Elephas maximus indicus: one gene and its partners. The protein of the gene in region 3 purifies or fractionates together with the protein of the main gene of each other region. This does not show direct contact. Links are inferred from orthologs where the notes say so. Each region holds a gene or a part of one and is shown on either strand. Other genes may lie near its edges. The genes, in order: KIF5C, KIF5A, KLC1 and CLSTN1.

Evidence for each region.
Region 1: the proteins of KLC1 (region 3) and KIF5C purify together in Homo sapiens (co-immunoprecipitation; 4 studies listed by BioGRID and IntAct, counting the BioPlex papers as one, with this or other methods). This does not show direct contact. The link is inferred for Elephas maximus indicus from reciprocal best matches to the Homo sapiens genes KLC1 and KIF5C.
Region 2: the proteins of KLC1 (region 3) and KIF5A purify together in Homo sapiens (co-immunoprecipitation; 7 studies listed by BioGRID and IntAct, counting the BioPlex papers as one, with this or other methods). This does not show direct contact. The link is inferred for Elephas maximus indicus from reciprocal best matches to the Homo sapiens genes KLC1 and KIF5A.
Region 4: the proteins of KLC1 (region 3) and CLSTN1 purify together in Homo sapiens (co-immunoprecipitation; 3 studies listed by BioGRID and IntAct, with this or other methods). This does not show direct contact. The link is inferred for Elephas maximus indicus from reciprocal best matches to the Homo sapiens genes KLC1 and CLSTN1.

What each region holds. Positions count from the first base shown.
Region 1 is NC_064824.1:45,731,952-45,739,929, forward strand, and holds the start of KIF5C (kinesin heavy chain), read left to right. Parts: upstream 1-4,762; 5' UTR 4,763-5,146; coding exon 5,147-5,272; intron 5,273-7,978. UniProt on the Homo sapiens protein: Microtubule-associated force-producing protein that may play a role in organelle transport. Has ATPase activity. Involved in synaptic transmission. Mediates dendritic trafficking of mRNAs.
Region 2 is NC_064822.1:117,451,763-117,458,862, reverse strand, and holds the start of KIF5A (kinesin heavy chain), read right to left. Parts: upstream 3,175-7,100; 5' UTR 2,948-3,174; coding exon 2,819-2,947; intron 1-2,818. Other genes in the region: DCTN2 (dynactin subunit 2), read left to right, coding at 6,283-6,318. UniProt on the Homo sapiens protein: Microtubule-dependent motor required for slow axonal transport of neurofilament proteins (NFH, NFM and NFL). Can induce formation of neurite-like membrane protrusions in non-neuronal cells in a ZFYVE27-dependent manner.
Region 3 is NC_064828.1:117,876,909-117,885,021, forward strand, and holds the start of KLC1 (kinesin light chain 1), read left to right. Parts: upstream 1-5,045; 5' UTR 5,046-5,136; intron 5,137-5,877; exon of another isoform or gene 5,878-6,157; intron 6,158-8,113. UniProt on the Homo sapiens protein: Kinesin is a microtubule-associated force-producing protein that may play a role in organelle transport. The light chain may function in coupling of cargo to the heavy chain or in the modulation of its ATPase activity.
Region 4 is NC_064821.1:49,323,576-49,331,060, forward strand, and holds the start of CLSTN1 (calsyntenin-1), read right to left. Parts: upstream 3,078-7,485; 5' UTR 2,826-3,077; coding exon 2,735-2,825; intron 1-2,734. UniProt on the Homo sapiens protein: Postsynaptic adhesion molecule that binds to presynaptic neurexins to mediate both excitatory and inhibitory synapse formation.

The DNA of each region.
Region 1 (7,978 bases), on a different chromosome or scaffold from region 3:
AAAAAAAGGTGATGTTAATTTTACTTAACCTTTTAGCATATCTTATATACTCAATATATCCAAAGTATTTTCATTTCAACATGTAATCAGTATAAAAGAATTATTAACGACATATCTTTTTTTTTTAATACTAAGCCTTCAAAATTCTGTTTGTATTTTACACTCAGCACATCTGGTTTTGAACAATAAATTTTCATCAGAAATAATCTGTATTTAGATTTCATAAAATTACAGTTGAAAAAAGTAGATTCACATACCCAAGCCATTCCAAGTGAACATAAAAGTTTTCAAATAATTTTGAAATGTAGTTAAATATTAATTAACAGTGACTTGATCATGTAGTCAATGATCCAGGTCAAATTAAATTTAACTAATTAAGATCGATTGCCCCATGCATCTGTCAGTTTGTTGTACTGTGGGGGTTTGTGTGTTGCTGTGATTCTGGAAGCAATGCCACCAATACTCAAATACCAGTAGGGTCACCCATGGCAAACATGTTTCAGCTGAGCTTCCAGACTAAGACACACTAGGAAGAAGGACCTGGCGGTCTAATTCTGAAAAGAATTAGCCAGTGAAAACCTTGTGGAACATCGTCTGATGTAGTGCCGGAAGATGAGCCCCTCAGTTTGGAAGGCACTCAAAATACAACTGGGGAAGAGATGCCTCCTCAAAATAGAGTTGACCTTAACGATGTGGATGGAGTCAAGCTTTTGGATCCTGCTAATGTAGCACGACTCAAAATGAGAAGAAACAGCTGCAAACATCCATTAATAATCGGACCCTGGAATGTACAAAGTATGAATCTAGGAAAATTGGAAATCTTGAAAAATGAAATGGAACACATAAACATTAATATCCTAGGCATTAGTGAGCTGAAATGGACTGGTATTGGTCATTTTGAATCAGACAATCATTTGGTCTACTATGCCGGGAACAGCAAGTTGAAAAGGAATGGCATTTCATTCATTGTCAAAAAGAACATTTCAAGATCTATCCTGAAGTACAATGCCGTCAGTGATAGGATAATATCCATATGCCTACAAGGAAGACCAGTTAATATGAATATTATTCAAATTTATGCACCAGCCACTAATGCCAAAGATGAAGAAATTAAAGATTTTTACCAGCTTCTGCAGTCTGAAATTGATCAAATGTGCAATCAAGATGCATTGATAATTACTGTGAAAGTTGGAAGCTAAGAAGGATTGGTAGCTGGAAAATATGGCCTTGGTGACAGAAACAATGCCAGAGATTGCATGATAGAATTTCGCAAGACCAACAACTTCTTCACTGCAAATACCTTTTTTCACCAACATAAATGGCATCTATAGACTTCACCAGGTAGAATACACAGGAATCAAATTGACTACATCTGTGGAAAGAGATGATGGGAAAGCTCAATATCATCAGTGAGAACAAGGCTGGGGGGGATTGTGGATCAGACCATCAATTACTCATATGCAAGTTCAAGTTGAAACTGGAGAATATTAGAACAAATGGACGAGAGGCAAAGTACAACCTTGAATATATACCACCTGAATTGAGACCACCTCAAGAGTAGATTTAACGCATTGAACACTAATGACCAAAGACCAGACGAGTTGTGGAATGACATTAAGGACATTTTGCATGAAGAAAGCAAGAGGTCATTAAAGAGACAGGAGAGAAAGAAAAGACCAAAATGGATGGCAAAAGAGACTCTGAAACTTGCTCTTGAACATCAAGTAGCTAAAGCAAAAGGAAAAAATGAGGTCAAAGAGCTGAACAGAAGAGTTCAAAGGGCAGCTTGAGAAGACAAAGTATTATGATGACATTAGCAAGGACCTGGAGATAAAAAACCAAAAGGGAAGCACATGCTCAGCATTTCTCAAGCTGAAAGAACTAAAGAAAAAATTCAAGCCTCGAGTTGCAATACTGAAGGATTCTAAGGGGAAAATATTAAGTGACACAGGAAGCATCAAAAGAAGATGGAAGAAATACACAAAGTCACTATACCAAAAAGAATTGGCCGATGTTCAACCATTTCAGGAGGTAACATATGATCAGGAACTGATGGTATTGAAGGAAGAAGTCCAAGCTGCACTGAAGGCATTGGTGAAAAACAAGGCTCCAGGAATTGACAGAGTACCAGTTGAGATGATTGAACAAACGGCTGCAACACTCGAAGTGCTCACTTGTCTATGCCAAGAAATTTGGAAGACAACTACCTGGCCAACTGACTGGAAGAGATCCATATTTATGCCTATTCCCAAAAAAGATGATCCAACCGGATGCAGAAATTATCAAACCGTATCATCAATATCACATGCAAGCAAAATTTTGCTGAAGATCATTCAAAAGTGGCTGCAGCAGTATATCAACAGGGAACTGCCAGAAATTCAGGCCTGGTTCCGTTGAGGATGTGGAACCAGGGATATTATTGCTGATGTCGGATGGATCCTGGCTGAAAGCAGGGAATACCAGACAGATGTTCACCTGTGTTTTATTGATTATGCAAAGGCATTTGACTCTGTGGATCATAACAAATTATGGATAACACTCAGGATAATGGGAATTCCAGAACACTTAATTGTGCTCATGAGGAATCTGTCCATGGATCAAGAAGCAGTCGTTTAAACAGAACAGGGGGATACTACACAGTTTAAGTCAGGAAAGGTGTGCGTCAGGGTTGTATCCTTTCACCATACCTATTCAATCTGTATGCTGAGCAAATTATCTGAGAAGCTGGACTATATGAAGAAGAATGGGGCATCATGATTGGAGGAAGACTCATTAAAAACCTGCATTCTGCAGATGACACAACCTTGCTTGTTGAAAGTGAAGAGACCTGAAGCACTTACCAATGAAGATCAAAAATCTCAGCCTTCACTATGGATTACACCTCAACATAAAGAAAACAAAAATCCTCAAAATTGGACCAATAAGCGACATCATGATGAACAGAGAAAAGATTGAGGTTGTCAAGGATTTCATTTTACTTGGATCCACAATCAACACCCATGGAAGCAGCAGTCAAGAAATTAAAAGACACATTGGGCGAATCTGCTGCAAAAGACCTCTTTAAAGTATTGAAAAGTAAAGATGAGGATTAAGGTTTGGCTGTTCCAGGCCATGGTATTTTCAATCATATCATATGCATGTGAAAGCTGGACAATGAATAAGGAAGACCCTAGAAGAACTGACACCTCTGAATTGTGGTGTTGACCAAGAAAATTGAATATGCCACGGACTGCCAAAAGAATTAACAAATCTGTTTTGGAAGAAGTACAACCAGAATGCTCCTTAGAGGCAAGGATGGCAAGACTACATCTTACACACTCTGGACATGTTGTCAGGAAGGATCAGTCCCCGGAGAAGGACATCATGCTTGGTAAAGTAGAGGGTCAGTGAAAAAGAAGAAGGCCCTCAACGAGATGGATTGACACAGTGGCTGCAATAACGGGCTCAAACATAGTGACAATTGTGAGGATAGTGCAGGACTAGGCAGTGTTTCGTTCTGCTGTGCATAGGGTTGCTACGAGTCTTGACAGCACCTAACAACAACAAGATTGATTAAATTTTAATTAACCAAATTAAATAAAATTAAAATTCACTCCGTCAGTCCCACTAGCCACATTTCAAGTGCTCCGTCGCCACCTTGGCTGGTGGCTACTCTATGGGACAGCACATATCTGCAGAGTCTAAGCACAGCACAACCAAACATAGAAATCTACATGATTGATTTGCTGTGTGTCCAAGGATGGTTCCAGGTTAGGCCAGTGATAAAAATTCCTATCTTGACCTTCAAGGTTTTTTTTATGGTTGGACCCCAAATTGCCTTTTGAACTAATCTCTCACCTGTTCCATTCTGGCCCCATAGGTCTCCTTACCATCTATGGCCGTGCCAAACAGTCTGAGCTCCATACCTTGGCTTTTGTTGTCCTCCTGGCTAAATATCCTACTTTAGTTGGAAAAGGCAGTAGTAGAATTCTCACCTTTCGTGCTGGAGGCCTGGGTTCAATTCTTAGCCATGTGCCTCATGTGCAGCTGTCACCCATTGTCAGTGGAGGCTTGTGTGTTTTTATGGTGCTAAACAGATTTCAGGGTAGCTTCCAAACTTGAATGGACTAGGAAGAAAGGTCTGTTTAGCTAGTTCTGAAAATCAGTCAATAAAAACTCCATGGACCAGAACATTCTGATTCTCAATCCATCATGGGGATGGCACAGTGTTTATTTATGCATGAGGCCGCCATAAATTGGGGGCACACTGATGGCAGCTAACAACAACAACCACTCCTAGTCTTCAGGAGTCCAGGTACCCTCTTAAATAGCATGCAAAATCTTGAGGGTATGTAAGAGGTTTTTTTTTTTTTGCAATGGAGAAGGTCCCTAACCTTCATCGAGTATTAAAGGAGTCAAAACGTCTTATGAACTGCTGTCTATGTACAGGCATTTCCAGGAATAATTGGCTTCAAACATCCACGGCAAATCTCATTTCCCCCTGCTTTCCTCACAATTCTTAGAACACCGGGAATATAGGATATAACCTCCCACTCTGTCCTTGGCTTGGACAGCTAGACCGGACCTACAGGTCCTTGGAGGTCACACCTGGGCACCACTACTATCCCGGAAAGCCAATTCCAGGCATCCTTGACCTTTCACGTGCACGTGGAGCGACTACAAGTCCCGGGATGCGCCGCGCCAGGCTCCGAGCCGGGGCGAGGGCGGGCGGATCTCCGCAGTGACGTCACGGTCCGGGGCGGGCCCGGAGGGGTGGGCGGGGCGGAGGGCGGGACCGGGAGGCTGCGGAGCGCCCGGTGCTGATGCAGGATGGCTGAGCGCGCAGGAGCCCGGGAGGTCTGAGCCGGGAGAGGCTCGCTCCCTGCGCGTCGCCTCGTCCGCCCGCCTCGTGTTCGCGGGCAGGTGGGGCCGGGGTGCAGGGCAGGGGCAGGGCGGCGCCGGGGGCTGGTAGGTTGCCTCCCTTCCCGGGCTCGGAGCGGCCAGAGCTCCCCAGCAGCCCGAGTTCACGATGACCTGCTGAGAAGCGGCGTCGGAGGCTGCAGGAGGCAGCCTCGCTGCGGGAGGTGCGGTTCGCGGCCTCCTCCCTTGTCGTGCGGAGCCCCGGCCCCCAACCCATCCCCGCGCCCCCTCCCCGCAGCCGGTCGAGATGGCGGATCCAGCCGAATGCAGCATCAAAGTGATGTGCCGGTTTCGGCCCCTCAACGAGGCGGAGATCCTCCGTGGGGACAAATTCATCCCCAAATTTAAAGGCGATGAAACCGTGGTGATTGGGGTAAGTGGCCGAGGGGCCTGGCCTCCCCTTCAGTTTCGCGCCGCAGCCCGACTCCCCGACACCCCAGACGAAGCGGAGATGCTCGGGTCGCCCCTTCGGACATCCCCGAGGGGCAGACCCCGCACCCCGGGTGGACTGAGGAGTGACCCCCCCCACCCCACCCATAATTCCCTCCAGGTTGGGTGGAGGGAAGCTGGGGGTGGCGGGGCGGGCCCCGGTGGCGGGGGTGGGGGTGGGAGGCGAGGAAGGGCTCGGAGCCGCCATTGTTCGCGGGGTGGGGGCCCGAGTGGGCCTATTGTTCCCTGTCCTGGCCACGCCGCGTGGGTAGTGTTGGGTACCCTCAAGCCCGGGTGCCGGGGCTTCTCTTAAAGTATGAGCTATGTAGCCCACAAATGCTTCCAGGAATCAGTTCGATTTATCGAACACTTTGACGACTCCTCTCACGATCTTAGCGAAAAATGAAGAAAAAAAAAAAAGGTATTGGAAATATCCTGGCCTCGACTCGGAGCTCCCGCGGCGGCATAGACGCGGCTCCCTGCGGCGTTTCGTCTTGCCCCGCGAGGAAGCCTGGGGTGGGGGAAGGGGACGCTGGTGGCCTTGGTGTATCCTGGAGGTCTGGTGTGTCTCGTTCCGCTTCCCCTCAACCCAGGCTTCCTTGGACGTGGAGCCTGGGTTTGACCCCCTCCCTGCTTGGGCTACCCCCCACCTTGTGTTGGCGGATCATGGGATGTGCTTCCTACGGGGTGGAGGGAAGGCTGTGTCCCTATCTGTGGAGCGAAGGGACCCAGAGCGCACCAGATAGCCCATCTGTGCCAAGAGCAGAAGTTACTTTGTGTGGTTAGAGGCCCCCTCCCTCTTAACCTCTTTTCCCACCTTTCTCACCGACTTAGCGCTCTTCTGCTGCCGGAGCTGCTGGTGGGGGGAGGGGATACCACTGGGTTTTAGTTCTTTAAGGAATATTTCAGCCCTACCCTCCTCCTTTTCCCCCACCGCGGTCCCTAGCGTGCGGCTGACGGTGCCCCCTTTGTATGCCAGTGGCGTGGGGAGGGACTGAGTTAATGGGAGCCTCCTGGTCCCCGCTGACATGTTCTTGGCAGCCCGCTCGAGGCTGCTCTTGCAGCCTTGCCGTCCCCAGCATTGATTAAATGATGTCATCCCGATCACTGAGCATGCTCCGACTAACCCCCTCCCTCCCACCCCCCCCCCAGTGGTTAGTGTATTTAGGTCAAATGATTGACAGGTGACAATTTACCGAGGGGCTTGCTGAAGCTGTCTGAGTCTGTCTGCACACTGGAAGTCCCCAGCATCTTCGCCAAGGTTGTTTTGCCGCAGTCCCTGCGAAGGGCCCCGGGGACCAGCAGGTGCTAGCTGTAACTGTAGGGTGGTGGCTCTTCGCGCCTGTGGAACCGAAACGGCTTCATTCTACACCTTCTTTACCAAGGCAGCTCTTGATGACTCCTCCACTCCCCATTTTCACAGTTACCAGAAAACCATGACTTCCAAATGCTACGCAGATGGGTATTCTTTCTGAGAGTTGACCTATGAGGGTGGGAAAGAGGGTTTCCTCCTTGCTTGTGTTTACTTGCAGAGATTTATGCTACAATTACTGATGAGGAGGGAAATTCTGCAGTTAATGGCGGGTCAGGGTTAGTGACATATCCATGGCCAGAAACTGGGGGCAGATAGTGGCTTGTTTGGGTTAAAGTTAGAAGTCTGGGTCTGCCTACGGTCTGATCTGCTATTTCCTGAGCCAGGCTGTGATTTAGAGTGGGAGTTACTCTGGACATCTAGTCCCTGCCTCTTGGCTGGTAAGAAATTTTTAACAGATAATTGTGTAGCACTGGAACATGTCCTGGTGACCCTAATTTTTTTTCCAGCGATTTTAAAGAAGAGCCTGGAGAAGTTTTCTTTTTCTTCTTCTCCTCTTCTTCTGATAAAGTGAGGTGGATTAATAAATTATCTTTTTGATCTGTGTGCAAAGCAGAGATCTTTAATTTTAGGCTTATCCTTCTTAAATATTGTGATGATAACATAAGTGTCTATAATGTAAGTGGAAACCCTGGTGGCATAGTAGTTAAGTGCTGTGGCTGCTAACCAAAGGGTCGGCAGTTCGAATCCGCCAGGCACCCTTTGGAAACTCTATGGGGCGGTTCTGTTCTGTCCTAGAGGGTTGCTATGAGTTGGAATTGACTTTGATGGCAGCGGGCTTAGTTTTTGGTTTATAATATAAGTATATTATTTTCCCATCTATATATATGAAAAAAAAACTTTTTTGTTTTTTTTTATATATGTGGGTCGCTATGAGTCGGAATCGAGTCGACGGCACTGGGTTTATATATATGTTATTAACTAAGTATATTGAAGGAAAGTCACCATATAAACTAACAGGTAATTTAAACAAAAACCTTTGGGTGTGAATATACTTGTTTTTAACTGGAAAGTGATTTTTGCTTATCCTACTATAAGCCTTTAATACAACAGCCAGTTTTCAGCTCTTTTTTTTTAAAATAAACTTTTTACTGAAGTAAAACATGCATATACAAAAGTGTTGTAAGTGTACAGTTTGATGAATCTTCACAAAGTAAATGGTTTCTTGTAACCACCTCCCAGATTAAGCACCACAACATTCCCAGGACCCTAGAAATGCCCCAAATGGCTCCCCTTTAGTCACTACCTCCCCCCAACTCAGGGTAATCACTATTTGAC
Region 2 (7,100 bases), on a different chromosome or scaffold from region 3:
ATCATCCCTCTCATGTCTGCTGCTCCATTTGCAGGGCCTGGTAGAGATGCAGCAGCCCAGACAACAGACACTGGGACACTCTAGCCACCAAAGACCAAGGCAGAGAAAGATAGATATATAAATGCATCCAGTGACAGAATCACGCTGAGATTCTGAGTGACATAAAGAGCAAAACAAGATGCACACCACATAGACAGTAACCCAGATATCCTTCTACTACGACTCAGGCCATTAACTTTTGACAAGCCCCAGATTTCTGGGAGAAGTCAGGGAGGGAGGGAGTGACAAGGTTCACAGAGCTGTCTCTTCAGCTTATTCTCCTACTCTTTATTCTCCTACTCATTGCCAAGCAGAACAAAGCTCAGGAACATAAGAGATGCTAAAGGCCAGAGCTAGCCGCAGTGCCGCAGAGGCAAAGAAAAAGCAGCTACAGGAAGGAGCAGGGGCTGGGTTTGTAAGGATTATCCTCTCCCACTTTCACTCTTCCCTTACCTTCCCATTAATTCCTCAGACAGTTTCCCCACACACTGGCCCCCAAGCGGAAACTAGAGGAGAAAAGAGGAAAGGGAAAGGTGGTAGATTTCCTTCCCCTGTTGCGATCTTCAAGGGTCTCCTCAAAATCACTTCTCCTATAGCCCTCATTCTCCTGAATGAGGAAGGAATAGTAAGGTTGAGAATGCAAGCTCCCAGGATGCTGCGTGGGACAAAATGGCCCCTCAGAAGCATTTACCTTGGAGTGAGGGATTGACAGGAAGGGCTGGGGTGAGGGAAGATACAAAGCAAAACAAAGGTACAGCCTGTCGAACATCAGACAAAATAGACAAGGAAGTACCAGCTGTAGAGCTGAAAGAGAATCTGAATTGGCAGGCCCCCCACCTCTCTTCAATCTCTCTTCACTTCCCATCACCCATTGTGTCTCTCCTATTTAGCTAGGCTACTTGGACAGATCAGCACCATATTTCTTTCTCCCAGCATCACCCCCTGCCCCATGCCCAGCACACCAGGATGTTCTAGAGCACCTAAAGGAGTTAGTTCAGACTTACCTGAAATGCATTCTGGAGCAACAACGCTGGGTTTAAAAGTGGAAGCCTTTTTTGTGGATTTGCTCCCCCATACCACCCCTCTTCTGTTTTTCAGCCTTCGTGTGGGGGAGACTCAAGTTTCAACTCTCATCGTTAGTATTTGCTGTCCAGGCTGACCAGACTGCAAAGCCCCCAGACTACAGGGTCTGAGATCCCAAGCCAAAGAGAGACAGAAGCACTCCCCATGTGGCAAGTACACACAAACACACACACACACACAAGGCTAAAACATCCATCTGAGTTCACAGGGTGAGTGAGGGGACAGGGTGGTGGCATAGTCCCCTTTGGGGATCCTTGGGGATGGGTAAGCAGACCTCTCCCTGAGACATGTTTACTCAAAATCTCATTCTCACTGACTCATAGAGCCCAGGTTCCCTCCTCTCCTTTCATTCCTTTAGCAAGCGTGTTTCCAGCTGCCTTGTGTCAAAGACTGTGGATCAAAGATACATAAGAAGTGCTCCTGACCTTGAGAAGCTCAGGGACTGCCCTCAAATTCGCCCCTCCCTTCTTAAGCAGGGCTACAGTTTCCTGGCCCAGTACCCCTCAAGCCCCACAGGACTCAATTCCCAGATCCTTTCACCCCATTCCACCAGCCTAGGCAAGGTGGAGTGGATGAGGCCTAGCAATTCCCTTTGAGTCATAACTGATAAAGGTCCAGAACAGAAATCTGGAGAGGCAGTGCGATGTAGAGGAAAAAGCATGAGCTTTGAACTCACAGATTTGCATTCAGCTCCATGAATTAACTGTGTGACCTTGAGAAAGTCATTTAACTTCTTTGGGCCTCAAGGTCCTTAACTGTAAAATGGAAATATTAATCCCTGCTTCAGAGTGTTGTTTTAAGAACTAAATAATATGGATAGAGTGACAAGAACACAATAAATATTATTTTCCTTCTTAACAAGACCTCCTCCATGGTTAAGGATTATCATGATGAGGTAGAGGTGGCTTGCTACCTTTTACTGGTTCATCAAGGGAAAGGATGAATAAGCAGGTACTTATTAGGATCTTGGGTTTGAGCATTTTTACTTATTGGAGGGGAAGTGTTGGGGGGTCTGAAATCTTCTTCCTATTGTACCTGGGAGGAAAAGGGAGACATTTCCTTAGGACCCCAGAGGCTTCCCCCAAGCTGGGCGTGGCATCCATGTATTCCTTTCCCAGAACACCCTTCAACAGACTTGTGCCCTTCCCCCAAGTCCAGGCCTTAACTAATTTAGGGGATGATGGAGGAATTTGGTCCCGGATTTGGTCCTGGACCCCACTTCCATTCACACCACCGCAGAGACCCTGGACTGCCCACCTCCCATCTAGCCCATCCACTAGCCTTCTCCTCCCTTGCTGGGAGGTGAGGGGCACAGATCTGAGCCAATAACAAAGAGAAGATGCACCTTCTCTGGGGAGAGAGGGAAAAGATCAGAAAAACACGGGACTGACTCTAAGGGGTGGCGAACCTGTAGAGAGTAGTAAAGGCGAGCTGGCTCCCCTAGTCCCGGAGAAGTAGCCCCCTCCCCCTCTGCAGAGTCTTGGCCGCTGGCCTGGCCAGGCCACACCCAGCCATCCTGATGCAGGGGAGAGAAGGAGGGACTGCGGCGCGGAGGATGGTTGGAGGATGAAGGATGGAGGATGGAGGATGAGTGGAGGGGAGGGGGCGCAGTGTGACAGGCAGGCGCTTAGGCTCTGCGGTATAAGATTCAGTCTCCCGCCCTCCCCCCCCAATCCCTTCCAGGGGCAGCACTCACCCCAATAACGACGCTGTCATCCCCTTGGAAAATGGGGATGAACTTGTCCCCCCGCAGAATCTCTGCCTGGTTGAGGGGCCGAAAGCGGCAGAGCACCTTGATGCTACATTCGTTGTTGGTCTCCGTCATGGTGGTCGCCGACGTGGGGCTGGGGCACTTCTGGGGCTGCAGGGGTGATGTGTGCTCCGGAGGAGGAGGGCGCTCAGCTGAGGCCGAGGCGGAGGAGAGGAGCTGGGTCTCTGTTGAGGGGCGCCGAGGCGAAGACTGGGAGCAGGACCTGTGCGCGCTTTCTCTCCTGCGGCACTGGGGTGCGGGCGGGGGACCTGGCGGCTGGTGCTCTCGCGGCGCTCTGCCTCTCCGCCCTTCCCGCTGCAGCGCAGCGCTGCGGGCTTGGGCGGGGCCGCGATGAGGAGCGGGGGGCGTGGCCTCCCTCGCCGGGAACCGCTCGCACGACAATGACCAGCGCAGGGTGTGACCTTTCCTCCCTACTCCCACCTGTCCCCTACTCACCCCTGAGGCTCGGAGATAACTTGCCTCACCCCTTCCCAATCCAGTTCATACACTGCGTCCCCCTCCCCCGACCTGTTTGTCCCTCCCTCCACCCCCTGGAAGGGAATAGAGGGTCGGAGGTGCGCTTGTCTTAACAAGAGGGTCAACAAGGTTTCCATCCCTTTTTTCCGGGGTATCCTCTACCCCCGTCACAGTCCTCTCTCTAAATTGGGAGCCCACTTCTCATTCCCCCGTCTCACCTCCCACGCACAGATGCCAAATTCCCAACCCACTCAACCTTCAAGGGCAGCTGCCTGTACCTGTATTGAGGGTGGGTCTCCAGGTCCCATTCTTGGGGAAGAGGTATCAGGGGCAAGTCTGGCTACCACCTTCCCCTTCTATATGCAAGGGTGCACCCTACTCTCTCCCCAACATACACACCAGGTCCCCAGTTTGAAAGAAGACAAACTCCCATTCTGGCCTATCAGAATTCAAAAGCAGATGAATTTCTCATTTTTGCCTACTAAATTGAGACTGGGATGGAGGTGGGCAGGAGTAACTTTTGCAAGAGAAAGGGAGTCAGAAGGCGGTGAAGGAGAGTGGTGATAGGAGTGGGCAAGGCTACAGGGGCCTCTGAGAGGATTCTTAGGGTGAACACCTGCATTTGGGTTTCAGCAGGTTTAAGCACCTATGTATGTTTCCTGTTCCAGTTACCACTGGACAGAATCCCAATATCCCAGCCCCTTTCTCAGGCCTTTCTTCTCTGCTTCTCCTCCCTTCCCTGGTACAAGTCAAGCCCAGAAAAGCCTTGTCCTTCTTTCTCCCAGGTCAACCTACAGCTGCAGCCCATGGGGCAGAACCACCAAGAAGCTGGTGAATTGATTTTTCTCCATGTCACAGGTTTTTGCTGGCCAACAGAGAGTTGGACTGCAGGAGTTGAAGCTCTGGGCCAAGGGGAGGGGCAGGGTGATGGGAGCAGGGAGGAGGGAATGGAGGTTCTACCCAGCAATTGTCTGTTAAGTGTCTAAGGTCACTTAGACACTAAGGGGCAAGGGTAAGAGGCTGATGGCCTGGCCAGAAAAGACCCAACCACTCAGAACTCATCTGAGGAGGGAGTTCCCATCAGACCTATATCTCTAACCCACCTGAATCTTAAGAGAACTGAGGGAAAACGATCCAGCTTAAGGAACTGGATGAGAAGGCAGTGGAACTATGGAGAAAGAGGGGTAGAGGCTTGGGGGAGGAGCCAGGAAAGTGTAGATAGAATGACAACGAGTTCTAAACTCAGGAAAATAGGTATCTCTCCAGTCACTTTGTCTGGCACTATTTCTAAGTGTTGCAGCATCCTGCAAGCTCGAGAAATATCCTGGGAAACATCCCAACCTTGAGGCCCCAGGAGCTTCAGGGAAACATACTTAGTAGTTTCAGAATGCCAGGCCATGAAGGGTCACTGGATAGCCCTCCCCTCCCCACCCCCCAAAAAGAACAATGTGATATATTACCATTTAGATCTGTGCTCTGCTAAAAAACCATCTGTACCAGCCCAAAAGGTCAACATTTAATCCAAAGTAAAGATGAGACGATAAGGGGGCAGGGAAACTAGAGTACTGGAAATGGAACAACCAGAGCACAAAGAGAATGTTGATACAATGTGAAAAATGTAACTGATGTCATTGATAGATTTGTGTGGAAATTGTCAAACAGGAACACTTTCACAAAAAAACACAATAAAATATTATTAAAGAAAAGAACAATGTGGTGAGTTTTTCACAAAGCTAGTTAAGTTTAAAAGAACTGTCTTTTATTCTGAGACTTCCTATTTTTCTGCTAAGTTGGTGATAGAGACAGTAGGTTTTCTTTTTTTAATGTATTTACTTGGAAAAATAAAAAGGTAGCAATTCGGTGTTTATCCTCAAAAAGATTTGCTGTTGTTGTTTCAATTTTATTGAACTGTGAAATTCAAAGGTCTTGAAACTATTAGTGAAGTGGTTAAGAGCACAGAGGGTGGTCTGACAGATATGGAAGTATCACTTTCCTATTATATAACTTTGAAATAGGATTGCCAAATTAAAAAAAAAAAAACTGGAAGCCCAGTTAAATTTGAATTTCAGATAATTAATAATTTTTTGTGTATGTCCCAAATATGGCATGCGCCCTTATACTAAAAACTATTAGTTGTTTTTCTGAAATTCAAAGTTAACTAGGCGTCCTGTATTTTATGACACCCCTAACTTGAGAAGATAAGATTTCCATACCTAATACGCACTAAAAAAAAAAAAAGTGGACGTCGAATCATCTCTGACTCATAGAGACTCTGTAGGACAGAGTAGAACTGCCCCATGGGGTTTCCAAGGAGCGGCTGGTGGATTCGAACTGCTGATATTTTGGTTAGAAGCCATAGCACTTAACGACTACATCACCAAAGCTCTTAATATGCTCTAAGCGTTTACTAAATTTTACTTGTTTTTCAAGCCCTGGCTATGCCATAACAGGACGAGTTTTGTGATTTTATCTAGCCACTTAATTTCTGGAAGTTCCAATTTATTCATCTGAAAAAAAGGAAATATAAGATCTCTTTCACAGACTTGATGTAAAAAAGAAAGAAAATAAGTAGTGTAAAACAGCTCCTCAAGACGCGTTATTGTCGTTCCCTGCCCAAACCCCAGCCCGCCAAGACTACACATCCCACAATCCCAGGCGGCGTTTCCCCTCCATCCCTGCCATTACCTCATTCTCTGGCCTCGTTCTCGCCAATCCCTGCCTAGCCGGAGGTGTGGCATCAGGCTATTCTCGCGACTTTTGTTTTACCCTTCTGCTGTGCTACTCCTGTCGCGAGACCTCCGGCTCCTCCGCCTCCTGCGCCGCTCCCTTTGCCGCCGTCTTAGCCCGGGACCCGGACTCATCCTCTCCCCTACCTGAACACCGGCCCCGGCTCTACTGAGGCCCCGGTCCCCCCACCCCGCCTCGCCGCCGCCATGGCGGACCCTAAATACGCCGACCTTCCCGGCATTGTGAGTACAGGGCTGGCTACGGCTTCCCAGGACCGCGCCCCCGACCACCCTAGGACCCCCAACAGACACCAACCCGAACCCCTCCCGCCTGAAGCCCCTCCTCCGCCCCAAGGACGCGTTCCCCTCGCTCCGAGACCGGCCGCAGCACCTTCCGGACTCCTTCTATCCGACTGAGCTGGGCCGTCGGACGGCGCACCAGACCCCCTTCCCGGCAGGCGCCGGCTCCCCGGCCCCGAAGTCGTTGCTGGTCGTTACCACTTGTGCCCTAGTGTTACCACCAGTGTCAACACCTCCCGTGCTGTCCCAAATCTCCCTATAAACCCCCCACCTCTCACGCCACCCCAGAACACACACAACAGGATACTTGGTGATGGCCTTCACCCTGCCAAGGAAGAGATTAGGGTGGCAGAACTTTTCTTGTGTCAGAGGTGGAACTCTGTCCCCCGGGAATCTGCCCCTCCCTTCCCCCATGCACATGCCTGCGTGTTCCCTCTTTGTGCGGCTCTGTCTGTATTTTCCGGGTAGGGGTTGGATCACAGGACCTTGGTCCCGACTCATGCTTAACCCTTGTGCCGGGGTAGTGGTGCTCCGGGCCTAATTCAAGGATAGCCCTCACCTACTTGTGATATGATTGCCAAGGACGTGCTCCCCCAGCCTTCAGATTCAGAGTAATGAGTAACATCTTTGTCATCAGTACATACCATTTACAATCAGGTCCCAGTTGTCCCCTCTGTCATCCCCACCCCACTGAGTCATGGGGAACTGACATGCTGTTAGGGACA
Region 3 (8,113 bases):
CCCAACCCACTGCTGTCGAGTTGATTCCGACTCATAGTGACCCTATAGGACAGAGTAGAACTGCCCCATGGAGTTTCCAAGGAGAACCTGGCAGACTCAAACTGCTGACCTCTTGGTTAGCAGCCGTAGCACTTAACCACTACGCCACCAGGGTTTCCACAGATTGACTAGGTATACTGAAAGAATACAACTCTGACACACACCTTTTCTGACTTTAAACTACACAGTACCCTCTTATTCTTTTCTAACAGCTGCCTCATGGTCTAGGTACAGGTTCTTCATGAGCACAATTAAGTGCTCTGGAATTCCCACTTTTCACAATGTTATCCATAATTTGTTATGATCCACCCAGTCTAATGCCTTTGGATATTCAGTAAAACATGGGTAAACATCTTTCTGGTATTCTCTGCTTTCAGCGAGAATCCATCTGACATCAGCAATGACATACCTTGTTCCATTTCCTCTTCTGAATCCCACTTGAATTTCTGGCAGTTCCCTGTCCATACACTGCTACAAATGCTTTTCAATTATCTTCAGTGTAATTTGCATGTGATATTATTTATTAATGATATTGTTTGATAATTTTCGCATTCTGCTGGATCACCCTTCCTCGGAATAGGCACAAATGTGGATCTCTTTCAGTCGCTTGGCCAGGTAGCTGTCTTCCAAATTTCTTGGCATAGATGAACAAGCACTTCCAGTGTTGCATCTGTTTGTTGCAACATCTCAGTTGGTATTCCGTCAATTTCTGGAGGCTTGTTTTTTGCCAATGCCTTCAGTGCAACTTGGATGTCTTCCTTCAGGACCATCGGTTCTTCATCATATGCTACCGCCTAAAATTCATTTTGGTATAGTGACTGTGTATCCTTCCATCTTTTGATGTTTCCTGCCTCATTTCATTTTTTGCCCATAGACTCCTTCAATGTTGCAACTGGAGGCTTGAGTTTTCAGTTCTTTCAGCTTGAGAAATGCCATGCATGTTCCTTCTTTTTGGTTGTCTAACTCCAGGTCTTTGCACGTCATTATAATACTTTGTTTTCTTGAGGTGCCCTTTGAAATTATCTGTTCAGCTCTTTTACTTCATCGTTTCTACTTTTCAGTTTAGATACTCTACATTCAAGAACAAGTTTCAGAGTCTTTTCTGACATCCATTTTGATATCTTTTTTTCCTGTCTTTTTAATAACCTTTTGCTTTTTTCACGTATGATGTCCTTGATGTCATTCCCCCATTCGTCTTGTCTTTGGTCATTAGTGTTCAATGTGTCAAATCTATTCTTGATGTGGTCTCTAAATTCAGGTGGGATATACTCAAGGTTGTACTTTGCCTTTCATGGACTTGTTCTAATTTTCTTCAGCTTCACTTGAACTTGCATATGAGGAACTGCTGGTCTGTTTTGAAGTCGGTCCCTGACCTTGTTCTGATTGATGATATTAAACTTCTCCATCATCTCTTTCCACAGATGTAATTGATTTGATTTCCTGTGTGTTCCATCTGCCGAGGTCCATGTATATAGTTGTTGTTCATGTTGTTGAAAAAAAGCATTTCTAATGAATAAGTTGTTGGTCTTGCAAAATTCTATCATGTGACCTACCTCTACCTCCATCATAGTGTTTATCAACTATATATAAATTATTTCAGTAGCATCAATGTCCCGTTTCTGTCTTCTGACATTACCCTTTTTAGATAACTGCAGACAACCAGTCAAGTCTCCACTTTTCCCAGCATTTCCTGTGATTGCTCAGAAGGGAGAGAAATAGGACACATATTCTCCTGGTCACTTAGAATATTATTGTCCCCAGCACCTGGCACACGTTCAGAGACACATCTGGGGCTCGATGAATGTGTGTGGAATGTCCAAATGCACACACAGGCAGACTCACCTTCCTATGGCACAGATTTGACCCTGTTGTTGGCCTCCCTGCCCCTTCAAACTTCTCACAGGTCCCTCTGTCAGCTGTGGCTGGGCCATCCAACATGACTTCACTCCCAAGTCTGGGGGCCCCAAAGGGACAGCCTGATGCTGGCCTTAGTTGTCTTCGTGGGTTTGACCTTTCCTGCAGGGCAGCAGTCTTCTCACTTGGCCGTTCAGGGCTCCCAAAAGCACAAGCATGAAGCTGCCTGGCCGCCTTCAAGCACAGCCTGAGACTACCACAGCGTCCCTTCATCCACATTCAGGAAACAGGCTGGTCCAGAGCCCAGGGGCGGGGGGTGGTGGCGTGCTGCGTGGCCAGATGGGAGTAGGGGGTGGTTGGTTCACTGGGGCCACCTGTGAGACTAGCACCACAACTTCCCCACTCTGAGGCTGAGAGACTGGCAAGCTAAGCTGGGGCCCCGTGCTGGGTATCCTTTCTTTCCTGGGTTCACCAAGAGGGACTCAAGCCTTAGTTCCCCGGTATTCTCAGAGAAGTGTGGGTGAGTGACAGAGGGGGTGGACTTCACCTTACCGCTACCCCACACGCGCACTCCACCTCTCCCTGATCCAAAGGGGTGGCGATGGTGCGAAGTTTCCCCTTGTTCAGAGGAGACCGACAGTCCTGGAGCTTTCTGCCTGGCGGCTGAGATCTTTAAAGGAAAAACACTCTAAAAACCTGATAAATTCCATTTTTGGACAATGAAGGCAGAGACCAGAAATGGCATGACAGAGCAAGGCAGGACTGTGCCCAAATTAGCACTGGCCTCTGAGGCCATATGCCCACTGCCCTCCCCACCCAGGCTGGGGGTGCCAGGGACTCACTCCCCCTTCACCCTGCCCACAGACCAGGCCGGGCCTAGTCCAGCAGCCCACATGAGGGTGACTTTTAAAAGCCCAGCCTGCCTGCCTCCTGCCCCATCTCCCTCCCTCCCCGGTGGACCTTTCCTCCTCTGTCCCTTTCCCCTCCAGGTACTCATGGACTCCAGCTGCTCGCTGACCTGCAAGCCTCTAGGCATTAAAAGCCAATCCCGCCTTCCCCCAAACCCACAGACATTTACGGTGAGATGATGAATGCCGAAAACAACAGTAATTTCCCATTTTCCTTCCCGAAGCTCCTCCATGGGGGCCTTGTCCCCTGGCCTTCACCTGCGTTGCTCTTCCCGCCTGCCAGGTGAGTGCCCTCATCTGTGAGTCCCCTGGATCCTTGAGGGATGAGGGGTGTACCCCCAGCACCTCTCTGGGCCTCCTCGCTGAGCTCCCCGCAGGGCTGTCAGCTCCCCGGTGCAGGGTGCAGAGCCATCTCATTGGGCAGTAGCTGGGCCTGGGGATAATGAGGACACAGCCGCTCCTGCGCCCATGCTCAGGGTCTGAGGGGAGAGGTCAGCTAACCATGCAGAGTTGAAAAGGCACTGGTGGAGGCACAGGAGGCTTGACTCAGACTAAGCTGGCTGAGAAGGCTTCTAGGAGGGAGTGGCTCTTGGCTGATCCTGAGGGAGTGCACCAGGACAGGGAAAAACAGAACTTCCTAGGCAGGATGGACACTACGTACAGGGGCACGGCCATGAGAAAAAGCAGGGTGGGCGCAGGGCTGGGCAAGGGTGTCTGGGGCCCAGCACAGAGGGAGTTGGAGCACCAGCTCCTGAGGGCCTTGTGAGCCAAGCGAAGCAGTTAAAACCTGACTCTGAGAGCCAGAGGCACATCGCAGCATTCCAAGGAGAGAAACACCCCAGCTCCTTCCTGCCTGCAGACTTCAGTCTGGTGCCCCTGGGCTTTTCACGTGGCTCCTTCCCTCTGCTCCCTTCCCCTGCCTCGCCCCACCACTTTGGCTCTGCCCATTGCTTCATCTGACTTTAATTCTCTGCATAGCCAGCTCCATCCAATATCTCTTTGCTTACATGCTTTGATCTGCTTCTCTTCAGTAGGAAGTAAACTCCTCGAGAGCAGGGGTCTTATATATCTGTTCACCAACACATCCTTGGCCCTTATTTGCGGGAATCTCAGGAGCTCGGCAAATACTTGTAGAAGGGATAAAGAATGAGGTAATAAACCTGCACAGGTGGGGGCAGTGGGGATGCACTAAAAATATGTTGTTGTTGTTGGCTGTCCTCGAGTTGAGCCCCTGACTCATGGTGATCTCATGTCCTGTGGAACAAAATGCCACCTGGTCCTGTGCCATCCCCGTGGCGATGGGTTGCTGTGATCCATAGGGTTTTCACTGGTTGGTTTTTTCAAGCAGATCACCAGGTCTTTCTTCCTAGTCCATCTTAGTCTGGATGCTCCGTAAAAACCTGTTCAGCTTCACAGCAACATGCAACCCTCCACCGACAGACAAGCGGTGGCTGTTCGTGAGGTGCACTGGCTGGGAACTGAACCTGGGTCTCCCGCATGGGAGAAAAGAATTCTACCACTGACCACCAGTGACCTAAGGAGATCTTAAGGAGGTAGAATCTTGGCTACCCGTGGGAAGTGGGGTACAGGGGAGAGGGCATCAGGGCTCCGGGTTTCTTGCCTGGGCGATGGGTGACTGGAGGTGCCACTTCCCATACCTGGCCTGGTCCTCCCTCCTCCACAGCACTTGGCAGTGAGTCAGGAGACACCTGTGCGTACCCTTCCAAACAGCTGCTGTGCCCAGCCTAACCGTGGTTGAGGAGCAGCACTGGAAGGTGGGTGATAGCTAGGCTGGGGTTTGGCCAGAATCACTAACAGCGTATGTGCGTTTCACTCTGCTTCATGGCCTCTGCCTTGGGCCCTGTAATTGCTGCGTCACCCTAGGAGCGCCCCCTTTGCACTCATAAATCAGATCGAAGTAGCTGGATCTGCTTGTGACAATCTGGGAGCGCTTACTTGCCTGGTGACTGCACAATTGCAGGTCAAAACAAGGCTGCCTGTCGATGCTGGGTGATACCATCTGAAAAAGACAGCGGTTCACAAGGGCAGGGGCTGGCAGGGGAACCACCTGGCCCTTGGGACATTTGCAGGTCCCCAGAAGGAGGGATCTCCCAAGCTGGCAGCAGGCAGAGGGCTGAGCTGGGCCCCCTGCATCTGCGGCGGCCGCCTGGGTGGCTGCTGAGTCAGCCTGCGGCACTGGCGATGCGGCAGGACAGGACCCAGGCGCTCTCTGACCTGGAAGTACTGCCCTTCAGGCGGGCTGGAGGTCGAGGCGCTGCAGCAAGCGGTGTGGTCTGCAGGACGGCCGGGAGGCTGCCAGGGTGCGACAGCCGAGGTGGGCATCTCGTCTCTGGCCAGGCACGGCTGGTCCAGCATCCCGTCCCTTCCCCCAGCCTCAAGTGCAGTTTGTGTGAGAGCCTGCGGCCGAGGGGCGCGCCTGGAAAGTCCCCTTGAGCTGCATTCCTGAGGCTCCCGGGGCTGGGGGAGAGGGCATGAGATGGGGAGGGCGTGGCGGTGAGTCTTGACCCACGACTCTAAGTTTTCCTGGAGAACGGAGACAGGCCCCCTGGCCGGGAGACCTCGAGCTCGCCACCGGCTGGGCAGGTCGGCAGCATCGTGACCTTTGGGGGGGCAGACGGGAGCCCTCCCTGCAGGCCCTGGGCGGACGTAGGGGGCGCGTCAGCCTCACACCAGGCACAGGAGCGTGGGTCTGGCGCCCGACACGCCCGGGGTGGGCCGGGGCCGCGGCCGGGACGTGGGTGGACGAGGCGCGCACCTCCTCCGACCACATTCCGGGCGGGTACCGGCTGGGAGGGGCGGCGGCCGAAGCGCCGGGTCACCCCACGGCCGCGTCCCAGCAGCCCAGCCGGGCCGCACCTCTCCCTGCCCCAGAGCCCGGCGCCCACCCCGGCGACGCCCCCGGATCTCGGCCGCCGAGCGTGGGCAGCGCAGCCCCCGGGAGCCGCGTGGGCGCCGCGGCCCGAGTCCCCCGCCGAGCGCTGGCCCCGCCCCCGGCGCGCGGGGGCGGGTGACGTCATCCTGGGCGCGGCGGCGCGCGGCATTGTGGGGCGGGGCCGGCCGCGCCGGGAGGGAGGAGACGCCATTTTCGGCGGCGGAAGCGGATCCGGCAGCGCGGAGCGGAGCTGAGGGCTGCGCTCGGCGCCGGGAGACACGGGGCGCGAGCCAGTGGGGATGCTGCGGGGCGGCGGCAGCGGCGTCGGCGTCCCTCGCTCGTGACTGCGGCGCTGTGCCTGGAGCGGCCGAGGCAGCGTCTCCTCAGAGCGTCGCCCCTCCGCGCGCAGCCCCGCCGCGTCCTGCCCGCGCGTGGCGAGCGCGGCCCCCGCAGGAGCAGGACGGTGAGTGCGGCGGCGCGGCGACGGCCGGGCGGTCCCGGCCCGATTCCGAGCGCGTCTCGGCCCCGCCGCGGCCCCGCGCCGGTCCCCTCTCCCGCCCCCGTGACTGCCGCGGGCGCTGCGTCCTCATCCCGGTCTCCATCCCGGTGTCCGCCTGCATCCCGGCCGCCCGCGTCCCGGCGCCGTTCTCCCGCGGGCAGGGGCGGCGGTTCCCGGGGACGGGGCGGCGGTTCCCGGGGACGCGGCGGCGGGGCTCGCTTTGTCCGGTCCTCCCTCTTCCTTCCGGCCGCCGCCCTCTCCGCGGCGCCGCCCTGGGCCGACGCGCCGGTGCCCCTCGCGGGCGATGGGAGCCGCCCCGGCTGCAGACCCCCTGTCTGGCCGGCGCCCCCGTCTTCTCACGGGCAGGTGGGCGAGGTTCCCGTCCGCGGCCTTAGCGCACGCTGGCGCTGCTGCGACCCAGCTGGCCGCGGCCTCCGTCCGGAGTACGTTCTCGGTTGCAAAATTTGTGCACGTTATTCTTTAAATGAAAATAAAGATTAAAAAAGTAAAATTGACGCGTGGTGGATTGCATGGCTTTTTAGCTAAAGATTTGTAGGTCCTGTAGGTCGTTCCCGGATGTATATATATGGATGTTTTTGTTGAAATTTGTTGCTGTCTGTTTTTTCTCATTGAAAGAATATGCTCAAAATTTACGTAGTAAGCATGTCATAAGGAGGACTTGGAAAAATGAGTTTTTATAGAGCGGGAAAACAGCAAAAATTTAAGATGTGTATACCATTTAAAGTGCAATGTAGATCAGTTAGAGCTTTGATGGCTTGCACAGTTAAATTCCAAGGTCTTTTTTTTTTTGGTACAGCATGACTAAGCCCTTGGTCAGAATCTGTAGCTTGGAATACATTGTAATGATCCAGTGAAAAGCCTCTTAGGAGATTGGAACGACCTCCTAAAAGCTAATAATTATAGAATTTACCTCTTTCGGGGATTGGTAACAAGCCACAGTTAGAGTGGAAATTTGACCCATTGTTCTGTTTCATAAGTGTTTGTAAGAATACCATGGTACTAAATATTACAATTTTCAGATGGTGTGGAATTATGGGAGGGTAGGCGGTCTGAGCTGTTTCTCCACGTCACCGAAGAATGCAACATCATGTTGCAGTTGGCGCTGGGTGATGGAGCGCCAGGCATGGGGACCCTCCCTGGGCCCTGCTGTGTACTTTTCTCCGCAGGTGTGAAGAAATGCATGGGGCTCGCACAGTGATTCTCTCCAGCCAGCGGGAGGGAGGGAATGAATGGCCCTGGGGAGGGTACCGGGTCCCGTGTTTCATAGATTCCTAAGCATGTTTCACAGTGTTGCAGAAAAAATAAAGTCAGTGTGTAGATTTCCCCATAGGGCTTTTATAAACTAGCTTAAAACATCATGTAATTATGTAAAAAGAAAATTAGAAACTGGAAAGGCAAAAGAGTAAATGTAGGATTGGTTTAACCTGGAAGTATTTTTGGTAGCCTTGTCACCGTTTAAGTGGAATATGAGAACCAGTATCCGATGTAGTTAAGACTTGATCACTAAAATCCTAAATAAGAACAGGCAGAAAACTTCAGGTGCCAAATTGCAGAGGGTAGAATGAAAATGATTAGCAAATTAAGATTGTGAAAGGGTGGTCTTAAATGTCTATTGAGAACGAGTTAAATGCCAGGCACTGTGCTAAGGGTTTGGGGATGTAAAAATAGAAGACAGTTACTGTCCTGCCGAGTGGATTCTAACGCGGTGGTTTTATAGGACAGAGTAGAAGCGCCCCAGAGGGTTTCCGAGGCTGTAATCTTTCCAGAAGATTGGCACATCTTTCTTCCATGGAGCGCTGGCTGCTGGGTTTGAACCGCTGACCTTTTGGTTAGCGGTGGAGCACTTAAACGCTGCACTACCAGGGCTACTTGTACGTAGACAGGCACCACCGCCTACGC
Region 4 (7,485 bases), on a different chromosome or scaffold from region 3:
TGGTGCCCTGAAATTCACACTTCCAGCCTCCTACACTGTAAGAAAAGAAATTTCTGTTTGTCAAAGCCACCCGCTTGTGGTATTTCTGTTACAGCAGCACTAGATAACTAAGACAGCTGGGCTGATAGGATACACCTGTATACAAAACAGACCAAAACCCTTCCACCTTGAGAGGTCTGTTCTAGTAAGGGGAGACAAAACGTAAGTAACAAAGCATGTGGGAAAAAGAAAAACTGGAGCAGGGAAGGGCAGGTTCCTATTTCCTGTACTTGAACTTCTATTTCCTGATCATTAACTCAATGAAGAAAAAGCAGGCAGCCTAAAGAGAAGGCCATCAGGGACGAACACATGCCAAGCCTCTCTCTCCAAACAGTTTGCTTTACTTGACCTTTGTTTTTTGAGAACTACTACTACTATTACAGCCCTGGTGACACAGTAGTTAAAGCACTAGCTGCTAACCAAAAGGTCAGTGGTTCAAACCCACCAGCAGCTCCTTGGGAGAAAGATGTGCATGCAATCTGCTTCCGTAAAGATTTACAGCCTTGGAAACCCTACGGGGCAGTTCTCCTCGGTCCTATAGGGTCCTATAGGGTCGCCATGAGTTGGACGCAACTCGACAGCAGCGGGTTTTTTGGTTTTGGTACTATCAGAACTACTAAAGGGAAATTTGGGGTTCTCCATAAAACAACTACTTAAGAGCCAAAATACAATTTATGTCGCAAAGTCTATCATTCTCTCCAGCAGTTTGTATGTGATTTTTATCCCATTAATAATTATAAGAGGTAACTGGAGTATGAAGAGCAGTTCATAATGGCATACTTCTTTGCAGCAATAAAAAAAATTCAAATATTAGTTGAAACAATCATCACTTAAAATGAGCCCATACAAAATATCTCCACAAATGGTATTATTTAAATAAAAAATTCATTTTTTATTCAAAATGTTATCACTTTATTAGCATCTCATGTAATATTAGTGAGACATATTCTAATTTGCAAGCTGAAAAACAAATGCAACAGAATAAGTGATGTTTAAAATGTGTTTTTATTTTGAAGTCTAAGAATCCTGAAGTACTATAACTGCACCAAGAAAAGCTTAGAGAAAGTTAGGAAATTACGAAGGACTCAATACTCAAACGCATCTTTCACGTAAGATTTCTCAGTTCAGCATAATGAAAGTATTTATAGTTGAAATTCATGCTATTTAAGTGCACAAAGTAATTCAATAATGAATAGCAAATGTGACTGAATGGACAAACTTAAGAAAACAAGGATTTTAACATGAAATGTTATCATCGACTAAACTAAATATACTTGAACTGTTTCCAAAATACAAAACCAAGCACATACTAAAAGATGGGTGGGTTTTCCCCAAGACAAGCAAAACTTTGACACATACTGTGGGTTTTTGTTTTTTGGTGTGTTTTTTTTTTTTTTGGCTATACAGACTTTCAGATCTCCATCTCACATCTGAGAGAACATTTCTAATTTAGCTTGATGTAACTTTTAAAAAGCAAATTGTAAATTGAGCACAATTAGATACTTAGTGAATGAGATCTGAATCCCACACAGTCAACAGGATTTTACAAAGATATGAATGAAGTTTCAAAGCTTATCATCCTCCATGTTAAGAAAAGAATATGGAACAAAAGGTGCATTTTGCCTCTTCTGCCCTTTAATTTGTGGACACCATACTTGGCTCAACAATGTCGTGCCAAAGAGGAGAAAAGAGAATTTTAAATTGCTAAATTGAAATGCTGACGGGCTCATCGAGACTTCTGTCAAAACTCCCCCCCACACACACACACTTCATTAAAAAAAAAAAATCATAAGACTAGATTCAAATACTCTATAGACTACACCTAGATTACTTTGCTCCTAAGGCCAAGGAAAATGTTTACGATTCCAAGATCCATTCAGAAGCCTGTATCTGCAATGCGTAAGCTTGTGGTTGGCAAGATCAATCAATATCAGAAATCATGTAACGTTTAAACGGTCAAGTCGTGAAGGTAAAATAAGTAATCAATTCACCAAGGAATCTTTTTTGCCATGTAACTACAAAATAATGTCGGTCCTACAACCCTAAGAAATCACCGCGGGGATTCGTTTCTCGTTTCTGTTGAGGCCAGCTAAGCTCCTGCACGATCTAATTACCGTCAGAAAAACTGCACCAAGGCGTCGAGGGCGGGGGAGACGGAGATTTCCAACACACACAATTTGACCTCAGGGTGCAAGGAGGGGCGAGGGGAGCAAGAAGTTGCCGCCACTGTTCGTTTGGAAACAGACGTTTAAAGGCCCCTGGGGGGAGATGGCCAGGGGAAACGGTGCAGTGTCCGCCGCGCAGCAGCCGGGACTCGGGGTCTTGGGAAAGGATGCGGAGGAGTGGGTTCTTATGTAAGCACACACAAAAACTGTGCGTGCCCCCACCGCCCCGCTGCACCTCTCAGCACACAACGCACGTACCGAGCATCGCACCCCGGGGTGCATCTCCGAGTTCGTGCGCTGCAGAGGACCCCTCGGCCCGTCCGCACGCCCCCACGATCCCGCACGGCCACCTCCCGGGGCCGCAAAAGGGGCGGCCCAAGCCTTGGTGCGCCGCCCGGGACCGAACCCGGCTTTCCCGAGGCGGTGCAGCGCGCGCCCGCGGCCTCCTGCGCCCCGACCGGGACCCCCGCGCCCTGACCGGGACCCCCGCGCCCCGACCAGAGACCCCGCGCCCCGACCCGACAGCTTACCTCGTGAGGCCCAGACCCCGCCTCCGCACAGCAGCCCGGCCAGCAGCAGCCAGGCAGCCGGGGCCCGCGCGGGCGAGGAGCGGCGCAGCATCGCTCGGGCTCCCTGCGCCTCGGCCGGCCCGAGGCGGGAGCGGCAGAGACGCACGCGGGGCGCAGAGCGGGGCTATCGCGCCCCGAGGCCGGCTGCTTGGCGCTGCGGCGAGCACCGGGGTCCGAGGAGGAGCCGCCGCCGCCGTGACGCTGGGCCGCGCGCTCCGGCCGCGGGCGCCCTCCCTCCTCCGCCGCGCAGGCAGCGCTTCGCTGGAGGCAGCGGCAGCAACTAAGATGGCGGCGCCGCTCTCTCTCGGGTCCGGCGAGGGTACCCGGCCGGGGGCGGGGTGCGGCGGGAGGGGCGGGGAGCGAGAGACGCGCGGCGGGCCCGGGAGCGCGCGGGAGGCGGCGCGAGGCGCGGGCGGGGCGCAGGGGCGCGGGCGCGGCGGGGACGGGCGCGTGCGCTCGGTGGGCCCGGGAGCGCGCGGAGGGCGGTGCGAGGCGCGTGGGGGGCGCGGGCGCGCGACAGGCCGGGGAACTCGCGCCTCCGAACCGGCTGGCAGAACCAGGAGAGCGCGCGCGCCCGCGGGGGATGCGCCGGAGGTTGGCTCCCCGCGATCTGTGTACGCCCTGACCCCGCGCAGCCGGAGTGCACCACTCCTCGTCCCCAGGCGCGTTCCCAGGCTCCAGAGGCCAAGCGAGTGGCACCTTGGAGCCCAAGTTTCGCTTCTCTCATGTGAAGGACTTCTTCCCCAGCCCCACCCCAGGGCAGCGCTATGCAGCCCAGGGCCCTTGAGCGCCAGCACCCTGTCTGACTTCCAGCAAGTCCTTGCCTCCCAGATTCTCGGTGTCCTCTTGTGCCTAGTGGAGGTGATAAGAGGTAACACTCGGGGTGGTGCAAGATGTTCAAGGGGAAGAGGGCAGCGTGACAGGCTAAACAGTTAAGGGCTGCGCAGCACGTGCCGCGGTGGTACCAGCCCGGGAGGGGGTTGCGTGTTCCCAGGCGTCCGTCCTCAATTTGCAACTCGAAGATTTCTCCATTTGCTTAAGAAATCCGATTCTGGCTTTTTAAAGGTACTGTCTTTCTAACCAATCTTAAGTGTGATGCTCACGGCCCTTAGAAATGAGGAGATCCAACTAGATGAAGGAGGGCCCTTCTGATGGATCCCTGCAGAAATATGGGGTCCTCTCCTTTTCTTCCGTTCTGGGGCACCCCCTTCTCTCAGCTGGTGATCTCGAACCCTGGCAGGGGCCACAGCCCCACACTAGAGGAAAGGACTGGCTAACAGATAAACTCTGTGTGCCGGGCACTGTGCCACATGAGACCATGTTATTGGCTCCATTTTGCAGATGAAGAAACTAAGTCAGAGAGACATATGACTTCCCCAATTGAGACGACTACTGTAAAAAGAAGAATCAGCCGTGGAGGACATCTCATTAGGGAGATGAGACACCTACAGCAAAAAGTTAAATAACAATAAAATGTTAATTATGCCACTGTGCTGGAAAATATCAAAGGTGACTCACTGCCAAGTGCCAAGGGCTACGTTTGCAGTAAGAGCTCAGCTGGCTGGTGGGCTCTCGGGAGAGCTTGGGGGTGGGGGTCAGTGGAGAGGAGTGGGCAGCCTTGGAGGCTGTGAGGAGAATGAGTCACTCCTTTGGTAGGGGAGAGGACTTATTTAGAAGAGTAGTGGGCAAGGATCCCAAAAAGGTAGATTGAGGCCAGATTGTGAGGTTCCTTAAATGATAGGATGAGGTATTTGGACTTGAGCTGGCAAGCAATAGGAAGTAGTTATGTGATGTGACCCAAGGGGAGTTTCAAAGCAGTCGTATAATTGACTATGCCCCTCTCTGTCCTTTGTCCCCCAAGATAACCTCTGTCCTTCAACTCTCCATGCTGGCCGGACACTAGAATGTCCTTGGTTGGACTTCACCTGAGGTCCCTGCCATCTCTAGACTGTGTCCCACCACTCCTTCCAGCCAAGGATGTGGGAGTCACCCTCCCTGAGTGTTGCTACTGTCCCTCCCTGACACATAAACCATTGGCTGCTGGCAGCCTCTCTCTGGTTCAGACAGCTCCGCAGAGCTCCCAAGCTGTCAGCCCCGGGCCCCACCCAGGTAACCTCAGGACCTAAGGTTTCACCTCCATCTTAGCTCTAGTTCTCCTACCCAGGGCCAGCATCATAGCACATCCACCCTCACCCCTCCTCTGAGCCTTAAGTCCTTAAGGCTCATCCCTGGGCTACCTCCTTCAGAAAGTCCTGACTAGCAGGCCCTCCTGCACTGATACCCACCAACTCTTATACCTCACAGCGCAGGCTTTCTAATCTGCTGCCTTGTGCTAACTATTCCACGTGTGCACCTTTTTCTCCCCACTGTGTTCTAGTGGAAAGGACCATCAGACAGGACTAAACTAGAATTACGGCTCCCAATACTACAAATGACCTTGGACAAGTTATGGAACTTTCTGAATTTCTTCATCTGTGAAATGGGATACTGACACCTACTTCCTAGACTAGTGATAATTACATGAGGCATTAAAGTGCCTCACAGAGCCTGGTATACTGTAGGTGCCGAATATATGGTGGTTTCTCTTTTTCTCTCAGGGCTAGTAGCCTTCTGAGCTTCTGCTATACTGGTGAATACATAGTGTAGTTGTTAGGTGACTCGAGTTGATTCTGACTCAAAGCAACCCCATGTGACAAAGTAAAACTACCCCATGGGAGCGGATTGCCAGGTCTTTATCTCACAGAGCCACTGGGTGGGTACGAATCCCCAACCTTTTGGTTAGCAGCCAAATGCATTTATTGAACACCTACTACGTACTCAGTAAATGTTCGGTGATGAACTAAATGAACTGCTATGTTAGTTAGTCTCTTATAGAGATCATACCTAGATGGAAAAACAGTGTTCCCTGTAGGTTTTCATGGACCTTCTAGATTTACAAAACATAAAATCAGGAAGGTATAATCTCAGAACTGTATTTTGAGTCCAGAGAGAAAATTGAAATATATTCGGTTCTATTAAAAGCACAAATAAAACCTTGGTGTCTGAAATCTGAATCCCCTTATCTCCTCAGCCTGGCTGTCCCTTAAGGAAACAAAGAGATCAAAAAGGTTCAGCTGCAGGTGGGGCAGACAGCTGGCTGGCGCGCTCCATGCAACCTGCACACGCTGTGATTTTGCCCCCTTGAGAGTTCGCCCAGCTGCAGAGCTCAGCTGCAGCATCCTGGAAGCGAGGGAAGCTGGGGAACTGAGGATGCCATCCTCCTGACAACAGCCTCGGCCATATTGGCACTTTTCAAAGGTCTGTATGTGACGCAGTAGTTAATCCTCAAGATGGCCCTGAGGTGGGGATCGATCTGGACTTCATGCCGTGGTTAGCTTCTTCAAGGAGCTGAACTAGGCGCTGAGGAGTGTCAGCTCACTTAGGAGAACACAGACACGGGACAGGAGGTGGCTTTGTCCATTGGGCAAGGAAGATGGAATTTTTGAACACATATCAACCGAGCTGAGGCAGTAGGTGGGAAGGACACAAGGAGATTTTTCAGAACGCTGCACCTTTTGAGGGTGGGTCTTATAACAGCAACCTCTGTAGTGTGCTAAATAGGAGTGCCTAGGTGGCGCAGTGGTTAAAGAGCTCAGCTGCTAACCACAAGGTAAGCAGTTTGAACCCAATAGCTGCTCTGCAGGAAAAAGATGTAACAGGCTGCTTCTGTAAAGATTTCAGCCTTGGAAGCCCCGTGGACCAGTTCTAGGTCACAATGAGTCAGAATCGACTCGACAGCAATGGGTTTGGGGTTTTGTTTTCTTTTGTTTGGGTGGCACAAATTGTTAAGTGTTCTACTACTAGCCAAAATGTTGGCAGTTCGAACCTATCCAGAGGTGCCTCAGAAGACAGGCCTGGCAATCTGCTTCTGAGAAGTCACAGCCTTAAAAACTCCATGGAGCAGTTCTACCCTGTGCACATGGGGTCACCATGAGTCAGAATCAACTCGATGGCAACTAACAACAACAGCTGTGTTAAATACATGATCTATCATTTATGCCTCCAGCAGCCGGAACTTCTTATAGTCCCTGTTTTACAGATGAGAGCGATGATTTTTTTTTTTTTTTTGCTTTTGTACTTTTTTCTGGTAGTTAAAAAATACATGTAACAAAACCGCTGCCAATTGAGCAGTTTTTACACGCACAGTTCAGTGACATTGATTACATTCATCATGTGGCGCAACCGTCACCGCTATCCTTTTCCAAAGGATTCCAGCACGATTGGCAGAAACTCAGTGCCCCCTAAGCAATGGCTCTCCTTTCCCCCTCCCTTGCACTCCTGGTAACCGCTAATAAACTGTGGTCTCCATGCATTTGCCTGTTCCTATAAGCGAGAACAATGTAAATTTTGCTCAAGAGATCATTGCTAGAAAGAAGGAAACCTGAAATGCAATGTCATGTCCATGGGAGCTCCAAATATGCCTTTGCCTTGTGTGTGAAAGTACCCCCCAGACATCAAAAAGGCCCCACACGGGATCCAATGCTTTGGAGCCAGCCTGCCCCACCAATGTCAGGAGATGGGGTTTCAAGCCCCGGCTTGCCGTTCTGTGGCTGTACCAGGTCATGGGAGACTGTTCTCACCCAGCTTCGAGTTCCTCCTCTGGGACACGATTTCCCAGTTCCAGAGTTGCCGAGGATGAAATGAGATTGCGTGCTGAAAAGCTCTTTGCCAAC